Linked DNA regions of Canis lupus familiaris. The protein of the gene in region 2 interacts with the protein of the main gene of each other region in a biochemical or structural test. Links are inferred from orthologs where the notes say so. Each region holds a gene or a part of one and is shown on either strand. Other genes may lie near its edges.

Region 1 (6,130 bases), on a different chromosome or scaffold from region 2:
TTTCTCTCTACAAAGCAGATGGGCCATCAGTCTTGGTACAGGTACACCAGCCCCCGCTGCCCTTCTTCTTCCCTCCCTTTGAGCTTCCCAAGGATCCAGAGCCCTTGGATACCTTTTCTCTGGTTCTTGGTGAGGGGTGGGAGCATCCGGTACACCCGCACAGCTGAGCTGCCTTTGTTCCTGCTCTGGTCCTTCACTTCCTCAATATCTGGCAGGGAGTTCATGGCACAGCGAAAGTTGGCCTTCCATGTCTTAGGATCTGGCTCCTTTTCCCCGGCTTTGTATCGACCTAGTCGGCAGAAGAGTGAAGAGGACTATAAGGACCAGAGGTGGGAATCCTTAGCTGCTGTCTGGCCTGGGAGGAGGAAGGCAAGAGTACCCCTAAGCTCTCATGCTGCCAGAGATCCACACTAGCCAAACAGACGGTATTCCTGGGTGACCCTCTACAAGCCCTGGGGCTTCTCAAATGCCCATGCTTGACTCAGACACATCCAGCAGACCTTTCTGAAGGGCCCAGCCAGAAGCACTAGAGGGCCTGTATGTCTTCACGGGCTGTACTGGTGCTGGACCAGAACCAGTCTCCCTGCTTGGGCTGTTAGCAGCCAGAGATTAAATAAAGACTAGGGTTTATCTGATGTTTCCAAACACAGCAGTGGACAAAGAGGAGGCATCAAAGAACAGTTACTGATAGGTGTGCTGTCTGATCTGAGATGGACCAAGAGCTCCAGACCTCAAGGATAAAAAGAGGCTGCCAACCAGATGGGCCTTGGGCCAGGACCTTGGTAAACATCAAGAAAATCAAAGACTTGGGTCTTTCAGTATCCAGGCTCACAACTGCTTTTGCCCCAAGGAGCTTTAATCCAGCTACAAACTCCCTGAAATCACACTTTCTAAGACGCTGATTTCACAGGTTCCTTTAAGAACTTGCTGAAGACGCTGATTTCACAGGTTCCTTTAAGAACTTGCTGAAATGATGGAACTTTTCCCCAGAAATACAAATCTGCCCCCTGCTCACCCCCAAATTTTGTACACAATCTCAAGGAACCCGATGAAGAGCCTCTGTGTTAATAGAAGTGATTCCTCTAGTCTTCTCCTTGGCCCTCCAGGGCTGGAGACCAGGGCACACACCTGTGTGAATAGCCCAGCTCCGGAACAGACAGGCATCCTTGTTGATGTCCCAGCCATGCTTGGCAGCATGCTTCCATGGAATCTGGAAAATCATCTCCTCCTGAATGGCACACACACACATATATACAAGGCTGTGTCAGCTCAGAAGCCACAGGGTTTTAGCAGGAGCCTGCCCAGCCCCGCCGCGCCCCCCCCCCCCCCCCCCAGTCTGAGAAAAAGCTGACTTCCCCTTTTCACCCTGACATCTGGCTTGAGTTGACCCATCCTGAGAATGGCTTAAACAGACTACTCTATCATTCTAGATCTCTCAGAAGGGGCTCTGGGTTCTGAAGAGCTATGGCAGTATCAGCTCACCAAAGCTCTCCCTCTGCCTGTTACAGGTGTGCTGGGACCCATAAGGAGCACCTTGGGATGCTCTCTGGCTTTTCAGCACCAACGCAGAAGTGAAAACTCCATCCATTAAATGGGGATGCTTAGGACAATTGGGACCACTGGCTCCTACACAGGGAGGGAGCCCTGGGCCAGTCTTGGATGCTGACTACCTGTGTGACACTGGCACTGTCCCTATACCTCCTGGTCCCTCATTGGTTTCTCTTCTGTGAAATGAGAAATCACAGTGACAAATATAAAGACTAAGTCTCACTGTTATCATTACTGGTGGTTAACACTTTGGATTTCTGAGTTTGATTGCTCAGGTTCAAATCTTGACTTGATCACTTTTTGTGTCATCTCATTATCTACTTCTCAGTGCCTCAGTTTTCCTTATCTGAAAATGGAGCTATTAACAGGATCTACTTCACAGGGCTACTGTGAGGATTAAATGACACAACGTAAGTAACAGACGTAGCACAGTAATCACACTTGCTCATAGGGAGTGGACAGTAAGCATTATTATGAATATTGTTATTACTACTATGTCTGCAGGGTTTGTGCACCAGCATGAGGTTTCTTGAGCCTGGGCCAGCAGTGCAAGGTTAATTCTCAGGTCCCTTGCTCCTCCAGCCATCTTCTCACCACTAGGTGCTCATTTCTCTGCCTCCTGGCTGTTTGGAACCCTGTAGGATGCTGTATGTTTGCAGGAGTCTCTCGTAAAAGAGACCAGAACTCTGGCTCTGCAGATGCGGGGAGAGTCTTGCTGATGCAAACTGTCAGTGCCCTCAGGTGAGTGCCCTGTCCATATCAAGGAAGGGAAGAAGGCAGAGCGGCCCAAGGCTGGGCCCTTGCATACTGCCTGCAGGCAGGACCCACTGGGAAACAAACACATCTGCCTCCTCCTCATCACTTCCGTTTTTGAGCTGCATCTGAAGCTTCGGTCCCCTCAAAGAACATGTGTTAAAATAGTGGCATAAAAACCCAGAAGGTGACACTCACTTTATTAATCCAGATCAGCCCTGGGATTTGGTTGGAATTAATCTGCATCTCTAGCCAGGGTCTCATGCGCATCCGAGTGATGGGCATGTTGGCTGTGAAGAGAAAACAGACGCTCCTGTTTGGAGTCTGCAGAGCAGCCCCTTAGGCACTACCCTGCCTGCAACCCCCACCTCCACCCCCCCACCGCAGCCCAAGGTCATTCAGTTAACTCTCCCCTGCCCTCCACCAGGTACCAAGTAGTATAATCATGGGAAAGAAGGCTTTCACCAGAACAAAACTGTTCTCCAAATATTTTCAGCATCATGGGCAAAAACAATTAAGCCCCTTCCCTCACGATCCTCTAAACACTCTGGGGAGGAGACAGGCGTGCAAGTGATAGTTTCAGGATTTATGTGCAGAAGAAACAGACAAAATACACAGATATTTTAATGCCAGAACTTTCCTCCCCAAATTCAAATCCTTTGGTAAGGGACAGGCTTCTTTTGGTTGATGCCCATAAATCCCCCTACTTGAGTTGCCGCCGCTACCACTAGCTAGCCGTGCACTGGTGGCAAGCAACCACCCTGCACTCTACCGGGACCCTGCACCCCCCAGTCTGTTCTATGCTGCTCCCAGACCAGGTACCCCTCCCGGTCTGGCTCCCGTCCTCCGCGAAGTAGCCGAAGGAACACCTGTGGCGCCTCTTCGCATGCGTAGCCTCAGCAGGTCCACCGGCCTTTCAGGCAGCAAGTCCCCCCCCTCCCCGCCCCAACACCTGCACGTACAGCCCGAAACCTGAGGCCTGGGCGCGGAGCTGGGGGCGCCGAGTCTCCCGCACCGCTAACGGATGCGCGCGGCAGGTCTACCGAGCGGCGCAGAGGCCCGGGGGCTCCGCGCACACAGATCCGCGACCCGGCCGGGCGCCGGCAGGCTCGGCAGGCTCGGCTCGTGGGCGGTCCACGCCGCGCGGCCCGCCCTCCCCGCCGCGGCTCGCCGCTCCGCCAGCGCCCTCCGGAGCCCGCGCGGGGGCCCCCGCGACGCCGCGCGCCCGCGACTCTCCCGGCCGGGGGTCGGCCCCGCTTCCCGGAGCCCCGCGCGCCTTTGTTCGACGCCACCGACCGCCCCCCCGCGGCGAAGGCGGACTCACCTCCGCAGCGGCCGCGATCCACCCGCGGCGCCCGAGGGTCCCGGTCGGCTGGCGCGGCGGTGTCCTTGCGGCGAGCGCGATCCCGCAGGGAGCGGCGCGAAGGCAGAGGCTGCGCGGGTCGAGGGGCGGGGGGCACGGCTGGCCTTGGCTTGGCGCGGCTCCCTCGGCCTCGGCCCGGCCGGGCTCCGGCGCACGTCCTGCCTCGACGAAGGAGTGGCGCGCTCTGCCGGGGCAGCGGCGCCGGCGAGAAATCTAAACACTTAGCGGGATTCCCCCAACCCAGGCCCGGCCCCGCCTCCCGAGGAGCCGCGAGGGCGCCTATTGGTCGGTGCCGCCCCATCATTTCGGGGAAATCAGGCTGTTGTAGAGCTAGCGGCGAAGGGGAAGTACAGGGCGGCTGCTCCTCCCCACCCCCTCCGGCCGGCGCCGCCGCCCTGGGGCGACCGCGGGCCCGCCCCGTCCGCTCCCCCTCCCCCTGCCCCTGCCCTGCCCCTGCCCCTGCCCCCACCCCCGCGGCCCGGGGAAGGCTGTCCTGGAAAGCCGGACGCCCCCGGCCCGCACCCGCACCCGCAGCCACTCCCCTCGCTCCGCGTTCTCCGGGCCTGCTCTCAGCCTCCTCGCCGGGCGCGGGGGACGTCTGTCTTCCGAGCGCAGGTGAGCAGGTCACCCGGGCACCTGCTGTCCTCTTCAGAGCGGACAGCCCGGGATTGAAACCCCGTAAACGAGCCTGGCTCCTCAAACCTGCTAACGGGGTGCCAAGAAGGAAGCGTCTGGGCCCTCCTACTACTCGCTTCTGGAGGGGCGGCCGGCCCCCAGGACCCTCACCTGCCTTGGGGAAGTCCAGGAAAGCCTACTGCGCCTGGGGTGCTGACTGGGGCTGCGGGAGGGAGAGAGGAAATCCCAGTTTGGCCGCTGCAGGTGCAGCCTGGCACGGGACTGGGAACCTCAGTCTCCTCGACTGTAAAACAAGCAGCCCTAACTTGCTGGTTTACAGCTACCCAGAAACGATGTCTGTGAAGCACAGAGCCGCACTTGAGGACAGCAGGTGCTGTGTGGCTTTTGAGGTCCCTGCCCAGAGCCTAACAGCGACAGAGAGGCACCTCTCTGGGTGCCGCTTCTGGGTCTACATCCTTGGGGCTGCCATATACCTGACCTTAGGGAGAAGGAGAAGGGTTTCGGAGAAGCCCTGGCTACGGAGTTGGCTAGGGCTTGGGTACCCTTGCTCCCTAGCACTCCTGTCTTAGGCCACCTCCACAGCCTCACAGAGCCCTTACAGGGGTGCTCCTTAGCAGCAGCATTGGTGTTGCCTGTGGCCCTCGGCGCTTGGCCCAGAGAGGTTCTAGGCAGCATGGGGGAAGTTGCTTAGGGTCGGTCAAGACCATGGATGTGGACAAAGAATTAAGGAACCCAGGTCCCAGTCCCCTGGAAAGGGCAACCACTTAACTCTTGTGCCTTAAAGTAGACCTTGCCCCATTTGCACTCTCCTAAAGGCTGGGCTGAGTGTCCAGAACTCTGGCCTGGCATGTTCCTTCCTTCACCTCCCCAAAGCTGCTGACTCAGAAGTAAATTGCTCCTCTAGGCTGCGCTGGTTGTGTCACTCCCCTCACCCAGCTCTCCCTCCACAGCAGCACCCAGTTGCAATGGTACAGACTATAAATAGACACATTGATGCAGCATTCCACCTGTCAGTCACTCAGCTGCCTTCCTCCTACAGAGGAAATGGATGGGTTAATCCAATCCCCGTGCACCAGGATCTGATGCTGTGATTAACATGAAGCTTGGTTCCCAAGAGACCAACAAGAATGGGTCGGAGCTGTCTCCCAGAGAGTAGTGGGTGCAGTCCCTGAGAGAGAGGCCAAGAGACAGGAGGAACCACAAGGAATGAGCCTTAGCTGGCTAAGAAAAATGGAAGGTGCTGAGACCCAGGAAGGGGGAGAAGGGGTAGGGTGCTGTAAGTGACAGGTGGAGTGGACACCCACTACAGAAATCAAGACCTTCTGAGCAAGAAGAGCAGAAAGCAAGTGGCTCCTGAGTTGTGAAGTCTGTTTTCTGGGCAGCAAATGGATGCTTGTCTTGTCTTGAAGAACCTGATATAGGCACTGGAAAATTCAAAATGAGATCAGGGAAAGGAAGTTTGCATCTTATACGGTCTCAGAAATTGACCAAAATGACCCTTTTAAGACAATAGGAGTCTGTAAGAAGTGCTTTGACAAAAACTTTATTTTAATTCACAGATAATCATCTGCATCTGTATGTATATCTTTCATGCCATGAAATGTACTTCTATGATACATATTATTGGGTATATATTATTCTCTAATAAGGATAATTATTTACCCATTAATCTCCTATTAGGTTATTTCCATATTTTCTGAATACAAACAACACTGTGTAGCTGTATCTTGCCCATATCTTTTTTTTTAAATTTTATTTATTTATTCATGAGAGACACACAGAGAGGCAGAGACACAGACAGAGAGAGAAGCAGGCAGAGGGAGAAGCAGG
Region 2 (6,198 bases):
TCTGGGGCTGCAGACACCCCAGTGTGTGGCGTGCCCAGATTTCAGCACTCCAGGAGAACCCTCCAAGGAAGGCCTATTACTAGGCCTTCTCACTTGGGCTCAGGGGCGTCCTGTCACTATAGCAAGATCCACTTTGGGTGGCCTGTCAGGGTGCCCTGCCCAGGTTCCAGGCACCCAATGCTTGTCCCTGTCTATCCTGAATTTGCTCCAGGGTGGAGGCTGGGCCTTGGGATGAGCAGTGAGACTCACGGAAGGAACCCCTGGCTCATACTCCATCCTCGCTCCCACCTCAGCTAGATGAGGAGGCCCTCTGAGCCTTTCCCTTAGTGAGCAGTTCTTAGGGCTGATTCTGTCCCCCAGGACACGTTTGGCAATGTGTGGAGACCTTTCTGGTTGTGGAGACTGGCGGTACTTCTGGCGTCTAATGGGTAGAAGCCAGGGACACTGCCAGATATCCTACACTGTACAGGGCAGGCCCCCCAACAAAGAAATGCTCCAGCCCCACATGTCCATGGAGGTTGAGAACACAGCAGGGAGCAGGGGCTACACTAGCGTGAACCGTACAGTAAGGGGGTGACGGCACCAGAGAGGAAGAATTGGGGGCTTGGGGGAGCAGGAGAGGAAAAAGTCGGACCTGGAGCAGACAGACGGAGTGCCACCGACCAGCAGCGTGACCTTATACAAGTCGCTTAGCTCCCTGAGCCTCCGCTTCCTCGTTTGTGAAAAGCCACAAGGACTGGACGAGAAGATAAATGTGGACGGAGCTAACCTCGGGCCCTGGCACAACGAAGATGCTCAATCAGTGCGGGCGGGGGTGTGGGGCGCCGAGGGCCGCGTACTCACCGCTGTGGCTCTCTCCATCACTGCTGAGATAGGGGTAGTATTCGTGCGTTTGGCGCTGGTACAGGTCTGTGTCATAGGGAACCAGGTCTTCCGATGGCTGCTGAGAGACCAGGCTGTCAGGGCTCGGATGGCAGCGGGACAGCTGGGACGGGTGGCAGCCCTGGTGCGCCGCGGCCACCACCACCACCTCCCCCACCCTGCCCCTGGGCACAGCACCAGGCCCCCTTCCCGCCTGGAACCTGGGGAGACCGCGGTGGGGACAGGGGACCTAGGAGGACTGGAGTCTTGCTGCTGCAGAAAGGGGCTGACCGGACTCCAAAGGTCAGAGGTCAAAAGAGGACCTGGGCTGAGAGGAGGCCCCCAGGCCTCCCCCTCCCCCCTGCACAGCTGCTCCTCAAACCACACATGCACACTGGCCCCCACAGGGCCCCACCTTGCACAAGCACTCTCTCATGATCACGCTGACACACCTACACCTCCAAACCACAGACGCTCCCCGTGACACCCACACCCCCACACATGAACTAGCACCCAATGGTCTACCTTCACATGCTCTACAGGCCCCTCGCATTCACACTCACCATCGCACACTCACACCATAGGCACACGCAGCCACTTGAGTTTACACAGGTATCCTCACACTTGCCTTCCGGCACCTTACAGCAGGCTCCAGCTCATGCCCATCGTGGTCACTCACATCCCGCCCGCACACCCATCGTCATTGCGTACATGCTGCTCCTCCCGCCACAGTCCCCACGGCCTGTGCTCGGGCCTAGGTACCCGTGGCCACTCACACTCATGGCTCCTCAGTGTTCACCACGCGGGCCTGACCAGCCAGAGCCCTGGCCCCCTCCCTCTCCCTCCTCCCTCCTCCCTCTGACGCACCCACTGGGATACCCCTTCTCCTCCTCTCCTCCCTCCTGCCCTCACTCCTCATTCTTCCTCCCCACTCCTCCCCATCCCCCTTCTCCCCTCTCCCCATTCCCCCTCCTCTCTCCCCCTCCTCCCCCTCCTCCTCCTCTACCTCCTTTCTCCTCCCTGCTCTCCCCTTTACCGTCCTCCCCCTCACTCCTCCCTGCTCTTCTCTTTCCCTCTCCCCCTCCTCACTCCCTCACTCCTCCCTGTCCTCCTCTCCCTTTCCCCCCCTCCACTCCCTCACTCTTCCCTGTCCTCTTCTCTCCCCCTCCTCTTCCTCCCCCCCCCCCCACTCCTCCTTGTACTAGTGCAGGCACAGGGACACACACACCCATTCTTCACAAGAGTCATCAGGCCTCCTTCCACCCCCACAGTGTGTGCCCAGGGATTGCACAACAATTACTCCAGCCCTTGGGGCTTGGGTGGGAGGCTGAGATGTCTTGGGAGCCCACCTTCCCAGGAGTACGCAGAGTAGCCCCTAAGGGGTTTGGTGTAGCCACCCAAGGAGATGTGCCTCCTGCTCAGGTGTGTTTGGGGAGATTGGGGGATTGAGAGGTCAAGGGTCAGAGACAGTGTGGTCAAGCTTCTGGACCTGTGGTTTTCCTGAGGCAGACCTGGCTCTTCCTGGGACCCTCTCTGTCTCCCCCCTGCCTGCCCTCCACTACCTTCTTGGTGGTGGATGGGGGAGTGGGGTTGGGGCTGGGTGCCAGCTACAGCTGGCTGTCTGTGTCTGGCCAGTAAGAAGGCCGGGAACCCAGCCCCTGGTTTCCAGACAGCGCAGCCCAACAGCAGGATGTCAGGGCTGGGGTGCCTCCCGGGGCTCTGAGGCCTGGCTGGGGTGAGGCGGGGGCAGGGAGCTGCCTCTGGTCCGGGAAAGCTGAGTCAGGTGGGCAGGCCCTGCCAAGCCCTTCCCGGCTCCCCCAGGGCTCCCCGGCCCTGGGCCCTGCTGAGCGGGCACAGGGTGGGAAAGAGAGAGGGGTCCCCCCTGTGGGGCCCAGGTCTGCACCTGCCCAAGGCTGCAACTGTCATGGAGGGCACGAGCAGTGGGGACCGGCCCCCGCCTGCTGCCCTTCCCCTCCAGGGGTCCCCTGGGACTCCTGCCGCCTCACCTCCAGTCCCAGCCCTGTCCCACCCTCAGCCCCTGCCCTCACTGCAGCCTCCGCTCTGCTGGGTCCTACCCCAGACGGCCCGCTCCAGCACCTGCCTGGTCTCCCTGCTCCCTGGCCAGTGCCCCAACCCAACAGCCGTCCCAGTCTCCGCTCCACTCCCCGCTGCCGCCCAGCCCCTGGGGACCTGCCGGCCCGAGGCCCAGACCCCGGGTCAACAGCCATGTCCCCTGGGCCAGGCCCCAGAGCGGGCACTGGAGACCCAGACACAAACCAGCCTCAGTCTCCAGGAGCATCCAGGCCTCGGGCCAGAGACCTCTGGCCTATGGCCTCCTGCCCTCACGCCTCTACTGTTCTGGGGACCGGCTTCCCCTCGCACCAGGCTCCCCATCTCCTCCTCCGCCATCTCTCTGCCACCGCCCTCACCATCCCCAGCCCGGCACCCTGCCCAGGAGCTCCACCAACCCGCCACCCAAGCCCCATCTATAAATAACCGTTCAGGCCCCACCGATCACAGCCCCACCGTGGGCCCACCCTCGGCCGCCAGGGCCTGCTCTGAAGAAGCCAACGGCCCCTGCCGGGTCTCGGGCCAGGAGCTCCAGGGAGGAAACACCAGCTTCCCACAGATAGGGAGCCGGGGGGCAGCCGGCCGGCTGCTGGGCTGCTGGGCTGCTGGGCAGGCGGACGGGCGGCTGCGGGCCGCGGGTCAGGATCGCAGAGGAGCCCCGGTACTCACAGGGGGGACGAGGGGAAACCCTTCCATTTTGCACGCCTGTAACATCCAGCCGAGCTCCGAGCCGGTCAGGTCCCCCGCCTCGGTGGGGGCCAGTGCGGAGCCCCTCAGGATGGGGCGCCCCGTCGGGGGGCTGGACGAACTCGGGGCGGGCGCAGGGCTCGGGCCTGCCCCCTGAGCTACAGGAGCCCTGGGTGAGCCCCCTCCCTTGACATTGCAGGGCCAGCGCAAGTTCCTGATTTTATCGAAGGGCCTGCCACTGGGAGATAGTCCCCTTGGGGTGACATCACCGCCCCAGCCCGTTTGCATAAATCTCTTGCGCTACAGGAAGTCTCAGGCTGGGCTGGGGCAGGTGGTGCTTCAGGGCCTGGCCTGAGAGACCATGGGGGCCAGACCCCCTGCCCAGAGGAAGCTGGAGCTGTGAGGGGCGGTCTTGGAGGCTGGGGTGAGGAGAAAGAGGAGGAGGGAGGAAGGCTAGCTCGACCGCAGGGAGGCCAGTGCTGCCCCCCAGGCCCTGCTGAGGCCCCCTAACTCCTAACCCCACTAATACCCACTGCTTTTGAGATTCCCATGTGGCCAACAGTCTCTTGCTTGGGGCCAAAACTGGTAGGGGTGGCTTCTTGGGGCCTTCACTTTTGGGGGTCAGCCTGAGTGGTGTGATCTACCAGCGTGTCAGGCCTGGCTCTTCTGGAATCTGGGTCTCCAGCTCTTATATTCTATCTGCCTTGGGGCTGGGCTCCAGGACAGGGTCCTCAGCACAGTGCTACTTTCCCCCTCCCTGAGCTCCTTCATACCAGCTTCCCTTCCACCAGAGGAGGCTCCTGGGTTCTTACAACCTTCCCTCCCAGTTTTCTGAGTACCCCCACTTCTTCCAAATCTCTAGGGGCTTTATTCCCAACCCAGATTTCTCAGTTTCCCCACCCCTACCAATACCTGAATATCAATTTAGTCTTCCTAGTTTAAAAACCTTTCTTGTTGGCCCATCCATTCATTTTCCTACCCAAGATCCATCCATCTTTTCACCCATCAAGCCAACCATACATTCGTTTATTAGTTCATTTAGCTGTGCATTTGTCCATCCATTTATCTGCTGGTCCATCCCATACATCCACTTACCTGTTTATTTACTTGTCCATCTAGCCATTGAAATGCTCATATATTAGCCCATCCATCTGTTATTAATCCACTTATATTTTCATCTGTTTATCCACTGTATATGCAGCTCTCAATCTGTTCATCTACCTATTCATCCATCCACCCATCTGTCCACTTATTCATGCATTCACACATCTATCCATTCATCCATTTATCCAACCACCTATCCATTGACCCAACCATCCATCCACCCATCCATCCATGCATCCATCCATCCATCAATCCATCCATTCATCTATCTGCCTATGCATCCTGCCAATATTAACTGACCTCCAGGCTCTATGCCGAGTGATGGGAAAATAGAAGTTTCAGACAAGATCCCTACCTTCAGAGACCTCCTGATCTAGTCTGGAAGACAGAAGGATGAACAGAGACAGTTTTGATCCATTGATCCCCAGTGAGTCCACTGCACTGGAGAAGAATTTTTTGAGCATTCAGTTTCTTCCCATGTGTAGTCCAACTCTTTATTTTCTACCTTCTTCCCACTAAGACTAGCCTGCCTCCTTCTTGTCAGTGGAATCTCAGGCCCCCAAGAGTTTCTTTCCTCACTGGCAGCAGAGACTAGGGATTCACAAGGTCTGGGTTCACTATTAGATCTATTTCACTTCCATCTTCACTGATTTTTTGAATCTGTACTTGGGACTCTCCAAGGGGTCAAGGTCACAAGTCCTCAGGACTCCCTACGAACCTGACCAAGGCCCCTCCCCAAGAGTAAGGGAGAGGCTGCTGACTGGGCATCAGTTTCATCCCTGTTCCTCACTTCCCCATCAAGAAGGCCATGTCCTAGCTGACTGCATGTGTGTGGGGTGGGTTTACTCCATAAGTACAGGTCCTGCATGATGTCTTCATTCATTCATTCATTCATTCATTCATTCCCATCTTGGTTTGGTTTGGTTTGTTTATATGCATATTTATCTATTAATTCATTTTTTAAATCACTAACTTTTTATGTGCGGGGCCTGGTAAGGGGGCACAAATGTGAATATGGCAGTCCTGGGCCCCTGGGAGTTCCCAGACCTGCAAGGGAAACACACATGTAAACAGATAGCATGGTCTTTGAGGAGGTGAGGGAACAAGGGAGAGGTGCTAAGTGCACTGGGGAACAATTAATTCGGTCAGGTCCATAGGTAGGAAAACATGCCAGGAAAAGGGAACATCCAGCTGAGGAACCAGCCTGAGCAAAGGCAAGAAGATGGAAAAGAACAAGGGAACAGTGAGGCCCCATCCTCTGGCAAGAAACAAGACAAGATAAGCAAAGAGCCTTGAGTGTCAGCCCAAGGAAACTGGGGTGCATCCAGGGACAGACGCAGAACCTGTGCTGGTTGGAAGCAGGGAGTGTGGCCCTCAGCTCCACGAGGCAGACAGCATACCCTGTCAGCTATGTGTTCCTCAGGCCTAAGTCTTAAGGCCCCCCAGGAGAAGAAAGATTCCATTATCCCAAGCCCA
Region 3 (5,621 bases), on a different chromosome or scaffold from region 2:
GCCGGGCGACCACAAACTCGGGAGGTACAGACTAAAAATACAGACCTCAAGGAAGCTCATCGCTTCCAGAAAAACATTCACCTGTGGGGAAATGGGAGAAATGTGATCAAAGAATTAAGGGGGCTTTGAACTAAAAAAATATTTGCTACCAAAAAAAAAAAAAAAAAAAACCAACTGCAACAATTGATGTTCAGTGGTGCAGCCAACACAGGAGAAAGGCTTCTTTCAGTGCGTGTCCACCTGTTGCCCAGCCTCTCAGGCAGGAGCTCATGCCAGGTTCTTCACCCTGATTTCTTCATGATTCATTCCTTAGCACACACTCTGGATTCCTCCAAATTAAAAAAAAAAAAAAAAGTAGATGGAAGTAAGGATGAGAAAAGGGACAGCAGCCCAAGCCAAGAGCATTTTCCAGGAAATGTAACTCCAGTGTTAAAGTAGCTTAATATCAAAAAAAAAAAAAAAAAAAAAAAGAAAAAGAAAAGAAAAGAAAAAGAAAAAAGAAAAGAAAAAAGAATGCGCAACAGCGTAGAAATAAGCTTCTGTTTGGAGAATTCAGAAGACACAGCACCCCTGGGATTGACACCAGGGAACTTCTCTGAAGTGCTGGCGTGGGTTAAATATTCTCCAGGGAGGAGGGGCCGCATACACTGGGGCCTGTGTCACAGCAATTCCTAATTTTGCCTTCAATTTCCCCTTAGGATAATATACCCTAAAACACTTTGCATCTATAAGATGTATAAATTACTGCAATTCACAAAATATAATCCGCTGTCCACACGCATTCACTCCTAGCGGCTGGTGAAATTCCTCGCTCGGCCTGCACGGCCTGCACGGGTGGGGTTCTGCAAGGACAAGGCCTCGGGAAAGGGTGAGGTAAATGCATCCTTAGGTTGAAAGAGCAGCTGCATTAAAGTGGCTGCAAGATGATCCTAGGAGGTGGTTCGTTTTGTTTTTTTTCTGAGTTGATGTAAACCTACAGAGAAGTGAAGCGTATTGGAAGAATAAGTGAAACTCTTCTTGCAGATATCTCAAGGGAGGAATTTGGGCTGGCGAAAAGGAGGACGATGTGCTCCTTTTTTTTTTTTTTTTTTTTTTTTGGCCTGTGTATACTGTTTCCATTTCCTGTAGTTAATATGTATCATGTTACCATTAAAAAGTCCTTGGGCCGCCCGGGTGGCTCAGTCAGTTGAGCATCTGCCTTCGGCTCAGGTCGTGACCCCGGGGTCCTGGGATCGAGCCCCACGTCAGGCTCCTTGCTCAGCAGGGAGCCTGCTTCTCCCGCTCCCTCTGTCCCCCTCTCCCCGTTCTCTCTAAGTAAATAAATAAAATTCTTTTTAAAAATCCTCCTTTTTAAAGGTTAAAAAAACGTCATTCCAATTGTTTCATTGCTTACCAAATTGGATAAAGGCCATAGATAATCTGTCTAATGTAAGGGGCACAGCTTGTTGAATGATTTGGAAATACAGGCTGGAATAAGAGAGGCATATATTTGAGAACTATTAAGTCTTTTGCTGAGCCTGAAAGTAAGAGCAGTTTTTCGTAGTATAATAAAAATATCAGTTGCCAGCATCAGTCTAAACATCTGTGCTTTTCCAAAACAATCAACAAGGAAGTGACCAGGTTCACTTAAGCAAGTAGAGATCTTGGTGATTCTATAAAAAGATTTATTTGGAAAAAGCCCAGTAAAAGCCCTGTCAAACCATATTGGCATGAGGAAGCACATAATATACAAAATAAGCAAAAACAGCCCACTGAGTCTGCAGTTACGCAATCAGTGAAATCCTGTCATCATCTTTCCTAACAGAGTTCAACAAATTGAAAAGCATCGGCTCCTCCTCTTTAGTGTTGTCATGGATAACTAACTGATAGCCAAACAAAACAAACAGGGTAAGAGGGGGAAATGTCACCGAGTTTCAAAAATATATCTTCAGTACTTGGATTGTTACCCTTTTCTTCTTTTTTAAAAATATAGCTCTAGCCATGATTTCTATTCTATAGAGAATAGAATATAGAGAATAGAGAGAATAGAGAGACAAAAAACAAAACAAAAACTATCTCAAGTACCCATTGCCAGACTGTAGGCCTTACTAAACACACTAATCAAGGGTAGCCCTAATGCTTTTTTTTAACCTATTTCCAGAAAATACCAATTGGTTCTCAGGGGCGCCCGAGGAGAGAGAGCAAACGGAGGGGGGTGTGGTTAGACAAGGCAGGGAAGCCGTGGGGCCAGGCCCGGGCCCGGGCGCAGCGGGTTAATGAGCCAGCCTGAGGCTGGAGGCACCGTGGTCCAGTCCCAGCCAAAGATTCTCTAACAGCAAGCATTGTCTACAAGAGCGACATCTTCTATGGGCATTAACATGTTCCTTTTGTGGGCAGAGTCACCTCAAATTTAGACATTAGTTCCCTGAGTAATAGTACGACACTCGTGTGCTTCTATCCCTCCAGTTAGTGGTCGACACTGAAACACAAGTTTTCTCCGTTTTCAAGCAACAGATAATCCACATCAAATTAAAGAGAGCATTTAAGTCAATGTAAACACATCCTTTGGTCAACGTTCACAGTGATCCTCAAAGGCGGCAGTCTACGGGAGACCCTGCAAACCGCGTTTCCTTAGGAATAAGCTCGCTTAGACGGAGCCGGGGTGGTTTTGGGTTTTTTTGGGGTTTTTTTGTTTGTTTGTTTGTTTGTTTGTTTGTTTGTTTTTACGCTCATTCTTGCCGAGATTCTCCTCAAGGGCTGAAGTCCCAATCGCCAGCTTTCTCAAAAGGAAAAGAGGGAGTTCGGTCAGCTGTCCCTGGGAACGTCGGGTATCTACGGTGGCACGACGCCCCTCGGCGGCCCTCTCATTCTTGAATGGAGGAGTGGCGAATAGACCTGTGGTAGTCCTCGGGGCTGCCGATGTGCTCGGGCAGGTCGTAGCCCCGCAGGAAGTGTCCACTGTTTTGCTGAGCAAAATAGTACAGCTGTCTGGCGAGTAGAGGTTCGACCTTTAATAAGAGATTTTAAGAAGACGTTATTGAAACATGCTTTCGAGCGCCCTGCGACTGGCTCGTCGTTACTGACTCCGTATTTCAGGGACGGCGGAGTCCGAGGTTGGCACCACCGGTCAACCGTGGCACTGTGGGAAGCCGTTCCTGCGGGCGCCCTCCCATGCCAGGCGACGAGCCCTACTGAGCTCTGAGTTTCGACTGCATTAACGTCAGGGATGGTGCTTTTCAATGATCAGCCGCTTAAAATTTACGTTTGGCTAAGCCTAAGCAAATCAGGGACATGACCAAACTAAAAGGCCGTTGAAGGTGACCAGTGAAGGTGGAGCTAACTCAGGATAATTAAGGCCAATGCATTTCTCCGCGACCACAGCTTGACGGGGACGCAGGTGCAAACCCTGAGCAATTTACAATTCCTGGACCACCTAGATAATCCACAGATTTCTAAGGGAAAGGAAGAAGAAAGGGGCAAAATCTATGCAAACAACAACACTGCTATTATGGGGAAAGAGAGGCTAATTGAACCCAAATTCATCTAGTTTGGCTATTTGTGTGGTTCATAGTCACCAAAAAAAAAAAAAAAAAAAAAAAATTCAGCTTTCAGCATGTCCTTAATTTACAACATCTAAGAAAACAGAATACTTTGTTAATCAATTCCACTATTAAATTGAGCCTTTATGTTATTTGATATATAGAAACTTAAGCATAATTCATATGACATGCCTGAAATAAATTAAATCCATAATAAAAAGGAGTAGAACTCGTGGTGTACACCAATCCATCTTTCTTTTCCACCCCAGACACCTAGATTCCAGGGACCATTGCTTGAGGAACCCATCACTGCCTGATTCAGAGGATGCCTGGTGCACCCAGAACACCCTTAAAATCTGGCGGGTGCAGGAGTTTTTCACCAACTTTTGACATGTTATTTGTCAATACCAAGTTTATTTAGTTATTTAACAGTCCTGGGTGTTAACAAGATATTAATTATTGTATCAATTACTGGAGAGAATTCGTGAAAAAGCCCTAAAATCTACAAGACTATATATATATTTTTGTTGTTGTTGGTTGGTTGGTGGATTGGTTTTTGATTTTTCAAATCAAGAGGAGGAGGATTACGGGTTTACAATTAGTGTTTTATTTCAGTTTTTCAACAACAACAAAAAAACATTATCAGAACTACAATATGACCTGAATATTTATATTATTGAGTATGATCTCTTTTACCTTTTTGTCTGGGCCCATTAATGACTCTCAAAGGTAGGTAGCAATGTGAAGTTCTCAAATTCAAAACTCTTAGGTATTCAAAGCTCTGTTTTCTGTGGCAAATTTATTCCAAATGCTATCTCTATAAATCATTTTTTCTTTTCTATTTTATGAAAAAGGTGTTTACTTGCTGCAGTCGAACCTATTTCAAACTCTGCTAGAGAACACTGGTGGTCTGAGCTACTTAAATTCCTTGACAGAGTTAGCTTCCTCCAAATAACACATGGCCCTCGGTTTCCACCAGTTAAATAATGTCTAAAAATCCAGAAATAAAAGGGGATTTGGGAAACATTTGGGGGAACAGCAAAATACTTAAGTCAATGGACAGCTTCCCATCTGGAAAGAGCTTGTCCGTTGAGTGGAGGTCAGCTAGAAGGCATTTTAAAGGCAATATTAAATATGGAGAATATTAAGGGGACACTTTTACGACCAGTCCTTTTAAATCCTTATAAAACGGGAATAGGACACTGTCATGATGGGACAAAGAGGCCCACGGTGCAGGTTTGATGAGTAGACATCTAGGGCTGGGAAGAACTTGTGGGTCCCTGGACTCCCAGCACCATTCACTGGGCCATGCTTCCTCCCTTAGGATGTTCCCGTCACTTGACATATATTTGTATTTGAGAATTTTCTAAATGGGACCCTACCCCTGATGGAAAATAGGGAAACTCCATCATTTGAATGGGACTAAATACTTACGTGAGCAGTGATGAGCTTCCTTTGCCTCTGAGGATCTGGAAACTCTTCCCCGAAGCACAGAGTTACCTGGAATCTTGGCAGGGGACGGCCATGGTGAGCAAAAGCTTGCAGCTCTAGAGAACCCCACAAGAAAAAGACAGAAACAAATGACCCTGATCAGAAACGATCCTTGAACGTGCCGGGTTAAAACAGGAGGCAGAAGCTCACTGCTGATTTGGAAAACTGAAGGAGTGAGTATTCTTTATTTCTCTTAAGTGGGATTCCTAACCTCAGACCCCAATAGAGAATTCCATGTCCATGTCCATATGTGTGCTTTTCCCGAGACAGCTCTAGGTTTCACCTGATTCTTTATGGGAAACGTGCCCTGCAGATGAAGACTCTTGACTTATAGCCCTGGAGCCAGGGCAGTGCGAAGGGTGGGAGAAAGGAGTGAAGGCTGAAGGAAAAGGAAAAGCAATGTAGCTACATTGAGGCAAAAGAATAATTTATATAAAGGAGAAATTTCATTTAAAAAAAATCAAAATTGGGACGCCTGGGTGGGTCAAGGGTTGAGCATCTGCCTTCGGCCCAGGGCGTGACTCCAGGGTCCCAGGATCAAGTCCCACATTGGGCTCCCTGCAGGGATCCTGCTTCTCCCTCTGCCTGTGTCTCTGTGTCTTTCATGAATAA
Region 4 (6,166 bases), on a different chromosome or scaffold from region 2:
CTGACAGCATGATTAGAGGGCTGCAACACAGGTGCTAGCCTAGGGGGAAATCCACAGACCCCAGGACCCTGAGCCACCTGCCGTGGGAAGAGCATGCTTCCCTGGGCCCTCTTAGTCCTGAAAACTGAGACTCTGCGGGGCATCTGCAGCTGCCCTGCACCATATACCCACCTGTCCTAAGGTTCTGGCTGGTTCTGCTTCCACCCTTCGCCCCTTGCTCCATTCCAGACAAACACAGCCATGTCTAAGAGCACCATTCCATTTTTAGCATGACGTGGGGAATAATCACTTTTACAGTTCCAGGTCCTTTAATAAGCAGCTCATCACTCTCAGAGCCAACTCTATCACTTGATGCCCAGTCTGACCCATGTCTATTGGCAAATACGACATCTGTGTGCTCCAAAAAAGGAGATCCTCAAAGATAGCCCTTCTAGATTATTCCCTCAAAGCTGGGTTAATGATAAGAGCAAGAGTTTGTGAATGAGACAGAGCTGGAGTCCCCTTGAGACCCACCATCTCCCAGCTGGGTGACCCTGAATCATGATTTAACCTTGGGAGTGCGAGCCAGGGGGACTGAAGCCCTAGAGTAACTATCAGTACTGGGCATCCTTGTGGTGAAGGTTCAGAGGATGCATATGAAGCACCTGAGGCCATGCCTGGACCTGAAAAGATTCTAACAGATGCTATTGCCCCAACTTTCTTGCTCAGGAACCCTTACAACCAATTGGAACAAAAAGGAAGATCAACGGGGGCCATAGGACAAAGCAAAGTCAGCTGGGCTAGACTCTTCCAGAAGGCACCAGGATTTGGGGACCTCACCAGGGTACCCAAAGACATCCTCTAAAAGAACACTGTTGCCAGAAGAGGCAGCTTTCCCAACAGCAAAGAGAAAAAGAATAATCATGCCGTATCGAATCACAGCCCACATTTACAAGAACAGGGGTGGAAATCCCCTAGACAGTTGGACAGACGCCCACCAAAAAAAAAAAAAGGCATTTCTATTCTTCTGATTAAAGTGTGACCTCTTTGGGCAAATAGGTGTGAAATAATCAGTATTGACAAGACATAATGTCCCCAAGAATACGGTCACATCCAGAGCCATGCTGGTCCATGAAGCAAGAAGTACAGGACTTGGAAACCAGCCTCCCTACAGGTGTGGGATTGGAAAGGGGGCCCAGGTCCTGGGGAGAAGGAGAGTCCCAAATGCCAAATGTGACTTTTCCATGCCCACAGGTGGGCGTAAATGGGGTGAAGCGGGGGGTGGAATAGGAATTGGACTTGGATTTGGAAAATGCAGACCCAGCAAAGGCTTTTCTCCAGCTAGGCCTTGGGAAAACCACCAGAACCTCTCTGAGGCTCTCCTCACCTGCAAACTGAATGCACCTCAAGCATCCCAGAATTCCAAAACAGCCCCTTGTGCTTATAAATGAAGTACAGATTTAGGAGGGCAGAGCCTGGGTGGCTCAGCCAGTTGAGTGTCTGCCTTTGGCTCAAGTCGTGATCCCAGGGTCCCGGGTGGATCTTCATGTTGGGCTCCCTGCTCAGTGGGGAGCCTGCTTCTCCCTCTCCTCCCTACTCATGCTCTGTCACTATCTCTGCCTCTCTCTCTCTCAAATAAATAAATAAAATCATAAAAAAAAAAAAAAAGATTTAGGAGGAACACCTGGTGAGAGAAAGGAAACATGCCCCAGAAGATAACCTAGCACAGTACTGATTCCTGCAGGCCTTCCTGGAGGAAAGACAGGAGAATCTCGCCTCCCTTGAGGAGTGAGCTGTGTGCAGGAGGAGGGTGAGAGGGGCCACAACAGAAGCGGTGGTGTCTGCGGATCTGTCAATTCAATGAAATGTGCCCACTTATTAGGACTTTATTCACCCTCTTAGCACGAGGTTTATAAACCAGAGTCCGCGCTCCGGGAGCCTCCTGAAAATAAAAAGCAAGATTTTGTTTGTATGGGCATTTTTCTAGAAAGTGGGTCAACACCTTCTTATCAAGATTTCTAAGGCACTCATGACCCCCAGAATTGTTAAGGACAACTGTCTTGGTGATTTATAAGGACAGGAAATGAGAACAGAGAGAGGGCATGGATAGGAAGAGTGAATCACAGAATAGGAAAACTGGACAATACTTTAGAAACCATCTAATCCAGCCGGCCTGCTCACAGGAGTTAACACTGAAGCCCAGAAGGGCACCCTGACCCCCAGGCACCCCAGCAGACTCTTATTTTGCTCGCTCTGCAGAGAAAAGCCAAGGTCACGTTACAAGATCTAAGCACATGGCCAGTCCCACCTGAATCTTCATGGAAAGCACCTCTAAGATTCTAAGTGGCAATACAAGCCTAAGATTCTAGCTCCATGACCCACAATGATTTAGTGAAGGCTAACCCATTAATCCCGTCAAATGTCAAGCCAGAAAAAAATTCATAAGCCTGGTCACATGTTTATAACTTCCTCTTCCTTGATTTTTAGATAATCATTCTCTTTAAGGGCCAAGTCCTATCTGGAGCTAATCTGCATCCCAATAAATGGGTCCCAGGAATCAGCTTCCCAGGCGGGAGGTGATAAAAAGCTGCCCTGCCCCCACCCAAGCCGGATTCCAGGATGTGCCTAGGAGGTGCAAGACTCACCACCCACACCTCTCAGGGCCCCGAGGTGGGGCGGGAGGTATTTGCCTGGTGGCAACACAGCCCCAAGTCCTCCACCCCTAAACCAAAAGCATCAAAGTTATTTGTCACTTTGGCCTTAGTCTTTCTGAAATGACTGAACCACTCTCAATTCTTTTCTTGGAAAAGCCTCCCATAATCTCAAAGGGCATGCTCAGAACCTTCATTTCAGGACCAGCTCCTAACTCGGGTTTAAAAAAAAAAAAAAAAAAAAAAAAAGTATGTTACATCCCCCTACAGGTTGAAAGGACAGTTTAAATTCTGGAACATTCAGCCTCCAGTCTCTCCATCCAGCAAGCACTCCACAGCCCTGGGGTAAGCAACATACCTCAAACGGGAAAGTCTCCCCTTTGCCTTGGGGCGCATTTTACGCCCAAATGCCTTTTAGCTGTGAGCCCTGCAGGGCTAGGGCTCTCTGGGCAGGGACCCCTGGGGTCGGATGGGTGCGGAGGGCGCCCCGCTGCGCAAGCTAGCTCACCACCCCGGTGGTCACTGGGCGCTTCCCAAGCGCTCCTCCGGGCAGCAGGACTTGGGCGGGACCGGAGGGCAGGTCTTGCAGTAAAGAGGTCGGTCCTCCCCCTCCTGAGAAAGGCCATCCTGGGGCTTCCACGCAAGCCAGACTTTTAAGAAAAATGGGATTTTGGAGGGGCAAGCATCAGCCGCCGGGGGGCCCGCCGCCCGCGCTCCGCGCCTGGCCTGCGGGCCTGGGCTCGGGAGGGAGAGCCGGGACCAGGAGGCCGGAGCCCGCCGCCTACCTGCCGCCGCGCGCCCAGCCCGCCGCCCGCCTTCGGCGCCGCCGCCCGGTTCCCACGCTCCCGCCGCCGCGCTCCGGGGATGCGGCGGTGGCTGGGGCGCCCGCGCGGGTCTAGGGCGGGGGCGGGCCCGGCGCGCCGAGCGGCGGCCGCGCGGGCCAATGGGCGCGGGAGACGCGCCGCGGCCGGCCAATCAGCGCGGGCGCCCCGCCAGCGCCCCCCAATGGGGGCGGACGGCCCGGCCGGCCTTCTTCGAAGCGCTCGTCTTTCCGAGAAATCAGTTTGCGCAGAGGCGGTGGCTGACGGTCCGGGTGTCCTTCCGGGGTCTGCGTCGGGGGTCCCGGGGGCGGCGCGGGGCGGGGGTGTCGGCAGAAATTCCCGAGGGGCCGCGGGGGCGTTCCTGCGGCGGAGCCCGCGGGCGGGGCGCGGCGTGCGAGTCCGATGGCGGAAGACGAGGTGCTGCCGGCCCGACGGCGGAGGGAGGTCGGGGTGCAGACCCCACACCCAGGGCTCCGGGTGGGTGGAGGTGGAGAGCGGTGGTAGTCACGGAGCGGGTGGGGGCCGAGGTCAGGGCTGCAGACGGCCTGGGGTCCCTGCACCGTGACCCCCAGCAGGCCCGGTCAGCGGTCAGGCCCTCCTCGGTGAGCGCGCCCCGAGTTCCTGGAGCTGCAGGGGAGGCATCCCCCCACCCCACACACCCCCACACCCGGAGGAGAGGAAGACCCTGGTCACGTGTGCAGACAGTGGCCAACTGTACACCTGCCGCGGCTCCTTACAGACCTGGTCCTAGGGCGCCAGTCACTGCCCACTGACCCCGAGTGTAGAGAAAAGAAAAGAACGAAAGAAAGAAAGCCCAGATGTTTAAAGAAAAGTATCTGAAGACCAGAGAAAAACAGGATTGTCCAGCATATTAGGGCCAGAATGTCCAATTAGGGAAATTTCCATCATAAATCCTGTTGTTCCCCAGAAAATGTCAATTGTGTTGTGTTGGGGGGGGGTGTCTTCTGTGTGTCTGCACCCAGTTTCCAGCCGCTCCTGGATGTTAACTGGCATTTCCTATTTATGGTGGAGTGGGGGCAGCAGGAGTGATGGAAATGACCAAGAAAACCCTGGCAACAAGGGAAAAAGACACGTTTCCCCACATTCAGGTCTAGGCACCCTTCTATAGAGAAGAGTCAGAATCTTCATTGACTTTTATTGCCTCTTTGGCCAATCATACACAAGCAGCAGTGTTTACTAAGCCATTAATTCATTAGACTTTTCAAGAACCTGTGAAAATGTTTGAGCCTGAAAAGGAAATTTTATTGGTCCCAAAATGCAAGAAGTACACTGCAAGCTTGAAATTTTTTTTAAGATTTTTATTTATTTATTCATGAGAAACACAGAGAGAGAGAGAGAGAGAGCATGGCAGAGACATAGGCAGAAGGAGAAGCAGGCTCCATGCAGGGAACCCGATGTGGGACTCGATCCTGGTACTCCAGGATCATGCCCTGGGCCAAAGGCAGGGGCCCAACCGATGAGACACCCAGGGTTCCCCTGCAAGCTTGAAATTAATAAATGTTTGAAGAAAAGTCCCCAAAATGTAACGTGCCAACTTCAAATTGTAATTTATTTACTGATAAACATTTCATTGTACTTGAAAACCACATGTAAGTTAGAAATCACTTGGTAAGAATTTCCTAATACCATGATTGCCAGGAAGTCATAGCAATCATAAATTAAATGAGTTCCCTGTCGCTAAATAATTTCAAATGAAAACTATTTTTTCAAAGCTCAAATTCTTTGAGAGTATTTAGATAACATGGGAGTATCTTGATATGTTTGTTATGATGTGGGACAAGCTTGCAGAACTCAGAAATTCTTTAAAGAGTCTGCGTGCGTGTTTATACTCATATCTTTTCAGAAATGTGCCCCTTCAGCCTGCCCAGGTTACTTACCTACCTGCCCACTACACAAAGACGTGTGCTCAAATTTCCACTCAGCGTTCCAGTTAGATCAAGAAAGGAGCACCCAAGTATAGAGAAGTCAGCCCTGGAACTGTCACAGCCCATATTACTGGCAGTAGGTGTCACTATATGCATTACAGGAGCTGTTCACCATACACCAGCTTGCACCACAGCTGCTCCTGAAACCCCCTACTTTCAACGTGGGGATTCTTCACTGCCTGGGAACAATTTCTAACCTTATCTGTTTAGTTCTGTTCTTATTTAATGAGGATTTATAGAGCAACTGCTATGGGCTAGATCCGATGCCAAGGACAGGAGACTCAAAAACCAAAAGTGTCTCTGATCATTCCTTCCTCTCCAGTGACCTGCCAGCACCTCGTAATCCGGGTACAGTTCACCTTCATCTCCACAGCAGCCTACGCCTCATCCTCCATACCACATCCCTGTGTGTCCTCCTCGCTGCCCCCCAGCCCCCCTCCCCCCGCTGCAGCCTCTCCCCCTACAAGGGTTTCCCTGTGGCTTCCCAGCACGTCCAGATGCTCATCCTGGCATCTGAAAACCACACCCTCCCAATCTGATGGATGGCAGCCTGCCACCGTGGTCAGAGCAGCACATTGCGAGGTGGGCCCTCAGTTCAGATCCACATTCCTGGCTCACCAAATGTGTGGCCTCGAGCAAATGACTTGACCTTCCAAACTTTTGGTTTTCTCATCTGTACAGTGCCGTTGATGATAATATTATGTGAAATTATTTGAAATCGCCAACATTCAGCTATTTTCTCCCCACAGAAGGGGCCGTTTTGTATGGT
Region 5 (6,342 bases), on a different chromosome or scaffold from region 2:
AGGTACTACTTCCCTGTCCTGTGAAATGTCCTAGTCAGTTTTGGATTGGGGCTGGCGTGGGGCCAGATTTGTGCCACCATGGGTGAGATCACACAGGCTGTAGCCACTGGCCATCTCTGTCTTTTTCTCTAAAGAATCCAACTGTCTCTCCTGCCTCACACCTCCTTGTCCCAATGTGGGTAGGGATGGGGAAGGTGGAGGAGCTGGGGGGATGGGGGTGGGGCAGGGCGGGAGGAGAGGAGAGCTGAGACTGGGAGTGTCCTCTCAACCACTCTCTGTCCCTAATGAGCACATGGGGGGTGGGGGGAGGTCTGGGTGGGAGGGGAGGTGCAGGCATACCCTAAGAAGCCTGGTCAACAGCTTGTCTGGTCAGTAGTATCTGCAGCAAGCCTTGTTGAAGGAGCCTAGTTTAGAAAAGTGCAAAGCTACTTCTGGCCCTGGTTAGGTCTTCAACCTGACTGTGCTTGTCGGTAAGAAAAACATCCCAATGCTCCAACTACTCCCACCCTGAAGCCACGAAACTCTAAGTTTACTGAAAGAAAAAAAAATATTTTTTATTTCAGTTAATCGGGAAGCTTTGTCAGAGCCCTACCCATAAGGAGAAGAGACAACAGCTGCCTTTATTCTTGTTGGTTTGCTTTGCAATCCGCTCTGTGTAAAGTCAGCTAACTCTCTCGGTCACGGGCGTCCGGCTGTCCACAGGCTCCTCTCTGTTTGGCCTTGGCATGGAGGATGAAACAATGTCTTTGCGCTCTCCCTCCCCTCGGTGTTTGTACTTGTCTGCGGCCGTGGCGGCGGTCGCGACCGTGGGCTGAGTCTTAGCTGGCTCCTTGGGGCAGCCGTCGCTCTCCAGCGAGCCTCCTCTCGCCATCTTCTCCTCTTTGCAGACGCCGCTGCTCAAGTCCTGGGGCTCAGGGGGGCTGGCGGGGTCCTCGGAGCTCTGGGGCTCAGGTGGGGGAGGGGGCGGGGGCGGAAGCAGCGGCGCGGGTGCCTTCGGGGGCTCTGAGTGGTGGTGATGGTGGTGGTGCTCCTTCTTGGGGGGTGAGGAGGCGCTGCTGCTGCGCCCCTTCGGGCTGCTCTCCTTGCTTTTCCGTCCGGGGCTCTTGCAGGTCTTCAGTCCCTTTCCACTCTTCTCGCCGAGGGTGGACACCAGCAGGGGCTTCACCACCTCCTTCACCTCAATGCTGACCGTCTCCCGAGTCTTGCGCTTCTTGATGGGGAGCACAGTCTCCTGCACGGACCGGATGGAAGACTCCTTCACGGCTTTCTTTTTGGCCTCTGCGGCGGCAGCTGCCACCACACTGCCTGGCTTTCGGCCCCGCTTCTTGGGAATGGCCTGGGGGTCAGCCTCGGCTTTTCGCTTCCGGCCTGGGCGTTTGATAACCATGACCTGGGCTGACGTGGTGGCCCCGCCCCCTTCAGCCTTGCTCCCGGGCGAAGCTTGAAAAGGCATCTTGACGAGCAGCTTCCCGGGACTTTTCTCCAGGACCCTTTTCACCTGCACACCCTCTGATGTTGCTGCCTTGGGTCTCGCAGTGCCGCTCCCTTTGGGGCGTCCCCGACCTCTGCCAGTTCCTGGAGCTTTGGGAGATTTGGGCTTCTTAGGTGGTTTCTGCTCTCGCCGGGAGGGGCTCCCTCTCCCAGTTACCGTGAAGTCAAAATCATTAGGGTCCAGGGAGGTGTCGCCTACCTTTTCGAAGTACGCAATCAACTCCACTTTAGAGCGAAAGGCTTTTCCCTGGGGACTGTGGGAACAAATGGAGAGACACAAAGAACGATTAGAAGCTTCCCCGCTAATGTACAAAGATGGGGCAGGAAGAATGTGCTGAATTCTGTGACAGGACGTTCTGCAATTGACCTGCCTGATGATACTATTCAATGAGAGTCACATTAGAGAAAAGCCAAAATGGGCTGAAATTAGAGGGGCATGGTCACACACAAAGCAACTGGGTTGCTGGGCGGCGGAGAGCACCCACAGGGTGTGCTCCAGTGACAAGAACAGCTGGGTGTCAGCTGCTCTGCAGCTATTGCCCCTGAGGATCCGCCTACCACCAAGGCCCCTCCTCTGGCTCCCAAAGGGGCCTGGCCTGGAGACCCGCTTGAGCCAGAAGGCTGAGGGGCAGGCATTCTGCTGGTTGGTGCCTGGGCCCAGTCAGTAAGTAAAGCACTCCTCTCTGTCTGAACCTGGGCATGCTGCTTAGCCTCTCTGGGATCGGTTTCCTCATCTGTCAGTAGGATAATGCTTTTTGTTCACCCTTCTCAGAGTTGTTGCGATCAAATGAGGATGTCTGCAAATAAACTGTTTATCTTTTCTGGATCATCTAAGGGCCAGAACTGAAATGTATTTATTCAGTCCTTCTCTGAAGCTCTGGCTTGGGAATTACACTGTTTCTTTTTTTTTTTTTTTTTTTTTTTTTTTTTTAAATTTTTATTTATTTATGATAGTCACACAGAGAGAGAGAGAGAGGCAGAGACATAGGCAGAGGGAGAAGCAGGCTCCATGCACTGAGAGCCCAACGTGGGATTCGATCCCGGGTCTCCAAGATCGCGCCCTCTGCCAAAGGCAGGCGCCAAACCGCTGCGCCACCCAGGGATCCCTGAATTACACTGTTTCAATAGAAAATGCCCAATGACCAGCTCAAAGCTGGACAAATGCACCAATGACAGTTGGAAAGGCACATGAAGAGACACCAATGTGTCCCCAGAGGCCCTGTCAGAGAGCTCACCTTTCCCAACATGATTCAGAGAGTAGACTGAGCCCTCTGAACTCCTACTTCTTCTGGGTCATGCAGCCAAGTCACGGAATGACTGACAGAAAGAAGAGTTGTTTAACAGGTTCTGAGAAGAGCCCATCAGCTGGATGTTTCCCAGCTGGGAAATGAGAGGAACCCAGAGAGCCCTGCTTGCCTTCCAAGCACAGGCCACTACACATGGCAGGTCCTGTGGCCTCTGGGACCAGCCTGGGCAGGGCCTTGTGTCCTCAATGTTTCTCAGGCGACCTCTCTTTCTTGTGTCCTCACTGTGGCCCTGGGTAGGCCCTACTGCGATGCCATCTCCAGACAAGACCTCAAGGGCTGGTGGGGTAAAGTCACACTCAGGGCGGTGAACTCTGTACACAGTCATTTGAAACATACCTGGAGGGGTCTGCAAGTGGTGTTCATTATTGAAGCCACCCCCAGCCCAAGATGGGTGATATACACACATTTTCCTGATCATCGAGTAAAAAAAGAGCTGCCACTCTAAGGGATCCCCATTAGTTTCTCAGCACCTGGCCCCAGCCTCCTGCCCACCCAGCCTTCCCTGCTTTGTAGAGACAGGAGTTGCCCTTACTTACTTGATCAAATACACATCATACTTCCCAGCGGAGCGGCCAGATTTCCTTTGTTTAAGCTTTCGGGTCCAACCTTCAGGCAGAGTGGGGTCGTCATACATGGGTCCCCGGTCACGAATGATAGAGCGTCGCTGTTTGGGGGAGGCAGAAGCTTCCGGGACAGCTGGGGCTGAGCCTGACCCTTCTGAGGTCTCCGCTTTGCCTGCCTCTGCTGGTTCAGCAGAGTGGTGAGCCGGTGGCTGCAGGGGCTCATGCTTGCCCTCTTTGTCTTCTTTCTTCTCTTTCTTCACCTTTTTAAATTTCAGGGGTTTGTCCTTGAGGCCCTGGAGATCCTGGTCTTCTGACTTTTCTTCCCTGAAGTGTTAAATAAGTATGTAAGTATCACAGGGAACACACCGATTTGTAGAAAAAGTAAGCAATGGCGGGTTTGGGGCACCCCAGCACAGGCAGGGCTCTGAGAGACAGGGCTGCCCCACCGATGCTCACCCAGATCCTGATGCCTTTCTCCTTCAAAGATTTCTTTGGGGGCTTTGGGCTTTACCCTACCTGCACTGTGACCACTCTGAGTCCTTCTGTCCCAAGTCCCACTCCTAACAAGCAGGAGAATGAGCGGCATTTTTCTGGGTAGAAACACTAGGTGGCTTCTCAGTGTACTGCCTCGGAAGAGGCCACTTTACAAGCTGTGCCCAACAGTCTCTAGACTTCATGGCTGACAAGAGGCCCTTGACTACTGGAGAGGGAGCTGCCCACCCAAAATGTGGCCAGGGCTCCTCTTCACGAAAGACCTGGCTTGGGTGTTAGTATAGCTTCTGTATTGTAAGTTTTCTCAAATGTGTGCTTGATAAAACAGTCAGGGAGCACGATGCAACTTACTGATGGTGGCAGAGCCTAGCACTACCCCCTTGGGAGATAAGGCACAGCACAGTGCTGTGGAGAAAACACACAGGTTTGGAGCCAGCCCAACCTGAGCTCAAATTCTGACTTGGCAACTTCTAAACATGGACCTGAGCAAGTGACCTCAACATTCCGTGCCTTAGTTTCCTCATCTTGGTAATAGGCACCAACACCCCAGAGGAAGAAAAGTCACAAAAGCACCATATAAACACTAGCCAACTCGGGCAACCAGAAACTGCTGCCCAGGGTTCTGGAGTGAGGAGAAGGCACCCCAGGTCTGCTAAACTTTTATTATCAGACATTCCTTTACAAGCCATGACTGCCTTACACTCAACCAGTAGAAGGGGAGAGCAAGGACAAAGGCACAGAAGAGCACCCTCCCCACTCCAGGGTGGGCACCTCCTTATGCTTTCACACTGACAGAGCAGCTCCTTCCTGCTATTTTGGCTCCACCTGGTAGGGTCCCTTCCTTGTGTGCACTGGAAAGGCCCTGGACCCTGGAATCAGTCCGCCCGTGGTGTTCTTAAAGCAGGGCTAAGAGGGCAGGAACACCACCCACGCTGGGGAGGCTTGGAACCAGCCATCTGCTGGTCTCTCAGCAATTCAGTCTAGAAGAGAATGAGACTATTCCTGCCCTTGATATCTAAGCCCTAGAGCTGCCCTGTCCCATGTGGCTCGTGTCAGCACTGGTCACTGCCTCATGGCCAGTCTACCCCAAGCAACCCCCTTGTTCACACTGTGGAGACTCCAATGGAGGCACTGTGGTATGTACTGGAAACCAGACTCAAATGATGTCAGTAAGCTGCCAAAGGTGGGTTAGTATCAGGACTCTTGGCACCATGAGAACATGCCTTTTCTGAACAGCTCAGGTCAGGGGTTGGGAGACAGGCTTGTCCCTGAGTTCCTCCCTATCCTGGGTCATCCTTTAGCAGCTCAGGACTCTAAAGCATGGCTGCCATGGTGACCCTGATTTAGCCCACGGCCCACAGGAGATCTTCTCTTGCTGTAAAGTGAGGGTCTCTAATCTGTTGCAGCACAGAGCTTAGTTTTCAATTATCACAGTCTTATTAGCCTTTCAGCAGGAATTGAGGAAGAATCCTGAGAAGCTTGGTGTGGCCTATAGCCTGTAGTCCCCCAACACAGAGGGGAGAAGGGGAGCTTGCCAGCAGCAGAGTGGCAGATGAACTGGAATGACCACTCCCACACAGTCCACGGGCCACCGCTGAAGGCCAGGGCTACTCCCTGGAACCTGGATAGTCCTGGAGTCGGCAGACAACACTGCACCCATGGGAAAGGTTTGGTTTCTCCAGAACACTCATTTATATTCCCCAAATAGTTTAACCATCCATGAGGTCAAGTACAAACCACATATCCCAGGAATGCCTCTTAGATACAATCAAGGGTGTCGATGCCATCAAGGTCAATCCCTTCTAGAACTCTACCCTAAAAAGACACACCCCCAGAAATGCCAAACAGTTAAGTCTATGATATTATTTGTTAACGGCATCATTTTTCCTGACCCAGTACTGCATACAACTCATAGAGCTACCAACAAAGACGTACTGAATGGACGATGCCATGCCTATAGCATGGAGAGCCATGCAGCCTGAGAGGGCTGAGAAGGAGCACCTCTGGATCTCCTACAGATCACAGGATGCCTTTCACGTGAGAAACAAGGGAAGAAGTACTTCCTAGTCCCAGGATGGGTGGGAACGAGCTAAGGTATAGGCGCAAGGCAAGACCTCTCTGAATCATATAAAAGTTTACATAACCAAAATGAGAAAGTAAACAGTACCAAAACCCTACTGTATTGAATGCAAACACAAACAAACTGAACCATGTATCAAACTGATACCACACCAAAGAGAAAATTTATTTCAAATACCTCTGACCACACTGCTCTGCATATCCTTGGTGGGACATATTTTAAGGCCTGATATGGCACCCAGGGTTAGGGAACATGTCCAGCATCCATGGAGGGAACCAGGCTGGCCCTGGGAGAAGTGGGTGGTTGTGGTTCTACGGTGGCCTGTGAGGGCAGAAAGGCAGGGGAGTGCTTGGACAGAGGAGGGGAAAGTCAAAGGACATAGGAGGTGGCTAAAAGGACTCCTTGCACT

Evidence for each region.
Region 1: the proteins of SPI1 (region 2) and IRF1 form a complex in vitro, tested with the Homo sapiens proteins (2 studies listed by BioGRID). The link is inferred for Canis lupus familiaris from reciprocal best matches to the Homo sapiens genes SPI1 and IRF1.
Region 3: the proteins of SPI1 (region 2) and IRF4 are reported together in a solved structure, tested with the Homo sapiens proteins (2 studies listed by BioGRID, with this or other methods). The link is inferred for Canis lupus familiaris from reciprocal best matches to the Homo sapiens genes SPI1 and IRF4.
Region 4: the proteins of SPI1 (region 2) and IRF8 form a complex in vitro, tested with the Homo sapiens proteins (3 studies listed by BioGRID). The link is inferred for Canis lupus familiaris from reciprocal best matches to the Homo sapiens genes SPI1 and IRF8.
Region 5: the proteins of SPI1 (region 2) and MECP2 form a complex in vitro, tested with the Homo sapiens proteins (2 studies listed by BioGRID). The link is inferred for Canis lupus familiaris from reciprocal best matches to the Homo sapiens genes SPI1 and MECP2.

The regions. Positions count from the first base shown.
Region 1 is NC_049232.1:20,771,693-20,777,822, forward strand, and holds the start of IRF1 (interferon regulatory factor 1), read right to left. Parts: upstream 3,783-6,130; 5' UTR 3,626-3,782; intron 2,592-3,625; 5' UTR 2,587-2,591; coding exon 2,500-2,586; intron 1,229-2,499; coding exon 1,129-1,228; intron 290-1,128; coding exon 113-289; intron 8-112; coding exon 1-7. UniProt on the Homo sapiens protein: Transcriptional regulator which displays a remarkable functional diversity in the regulation of cellular responses.
Region 2 is NC_049239.1:42,677,396-42,683,593, reverse strand, and holds the start of SPI1 (transcription factor PU.1), read right to left. Parts: upstream 3,870-6,198; 5' UTR 3,646-3,869; coding exon 3,601-3,645; intron 944-3,600; coding exon 844-943; intron 1-843. UniProt on the Homo sapiens protein: Pioneer transcription factor, which controls hematopoietic cell fate by decompacting stem cell heterochromatin and allowing other transcription factors to enter otherwise inaccessible genomic sites.
Region 3 is NC_049256.1:2,066,839-2,072,459, reverse strand, and holds the end of IRF4 (interferon regulatory factor 4), read right to left. Parts: intron 5,066-5,621; coding exon 4,953-5,065; intron 2,988-4,952; coding exon 2,844-2,987; 3' UTR 1,648-2,843; downstream 1-1,647. UniProt on the Homo sapiens protein: Transcriptional activator. Binds to the interferon-stimulated response element (ISRE) of the MHC class I promoter. Binds the immunoglobulin lambda light chain enhancer, together with PU.1.
Region 4 is NC_049226.1:67,306,586-67,312,751, forward strand, and holds the start of IRF8 (interferon regulatory factor 8), read right to left. Parts: upstream 3,472-6,166; 5' UTR 3,416-3,471; intron 1-3,415. UniProt on the Homo sapiens protein: Transcription factor that specifically binds to the upstream regulatory region of type I interferon (IFN) and IFN-inducible MHC class I genes (the interferon consensus sequence (ICS)). Can both act as a transcriptional activator or repressor.
Region 5 is NC_049260.1:123,059,877-123,066,218, forward strand, and holds MECP2 (methyl-CpG-binding protein 2), read right to left. Parts: upstream 3,686-6,342; 5' UTR 3,433-3,685; coding exon 3,335-3,432; intron 1,746-3,334; coding exon 662-1,745; 3' UTR 529-661; downstream 1-528. UniProt on the Homo sapiens protein: Chromosomal protein that binds to methylated DNA. It can bind specifically to a single methyl-CpG pair. It is not influenced by sequences flanking the methyl-CpGs.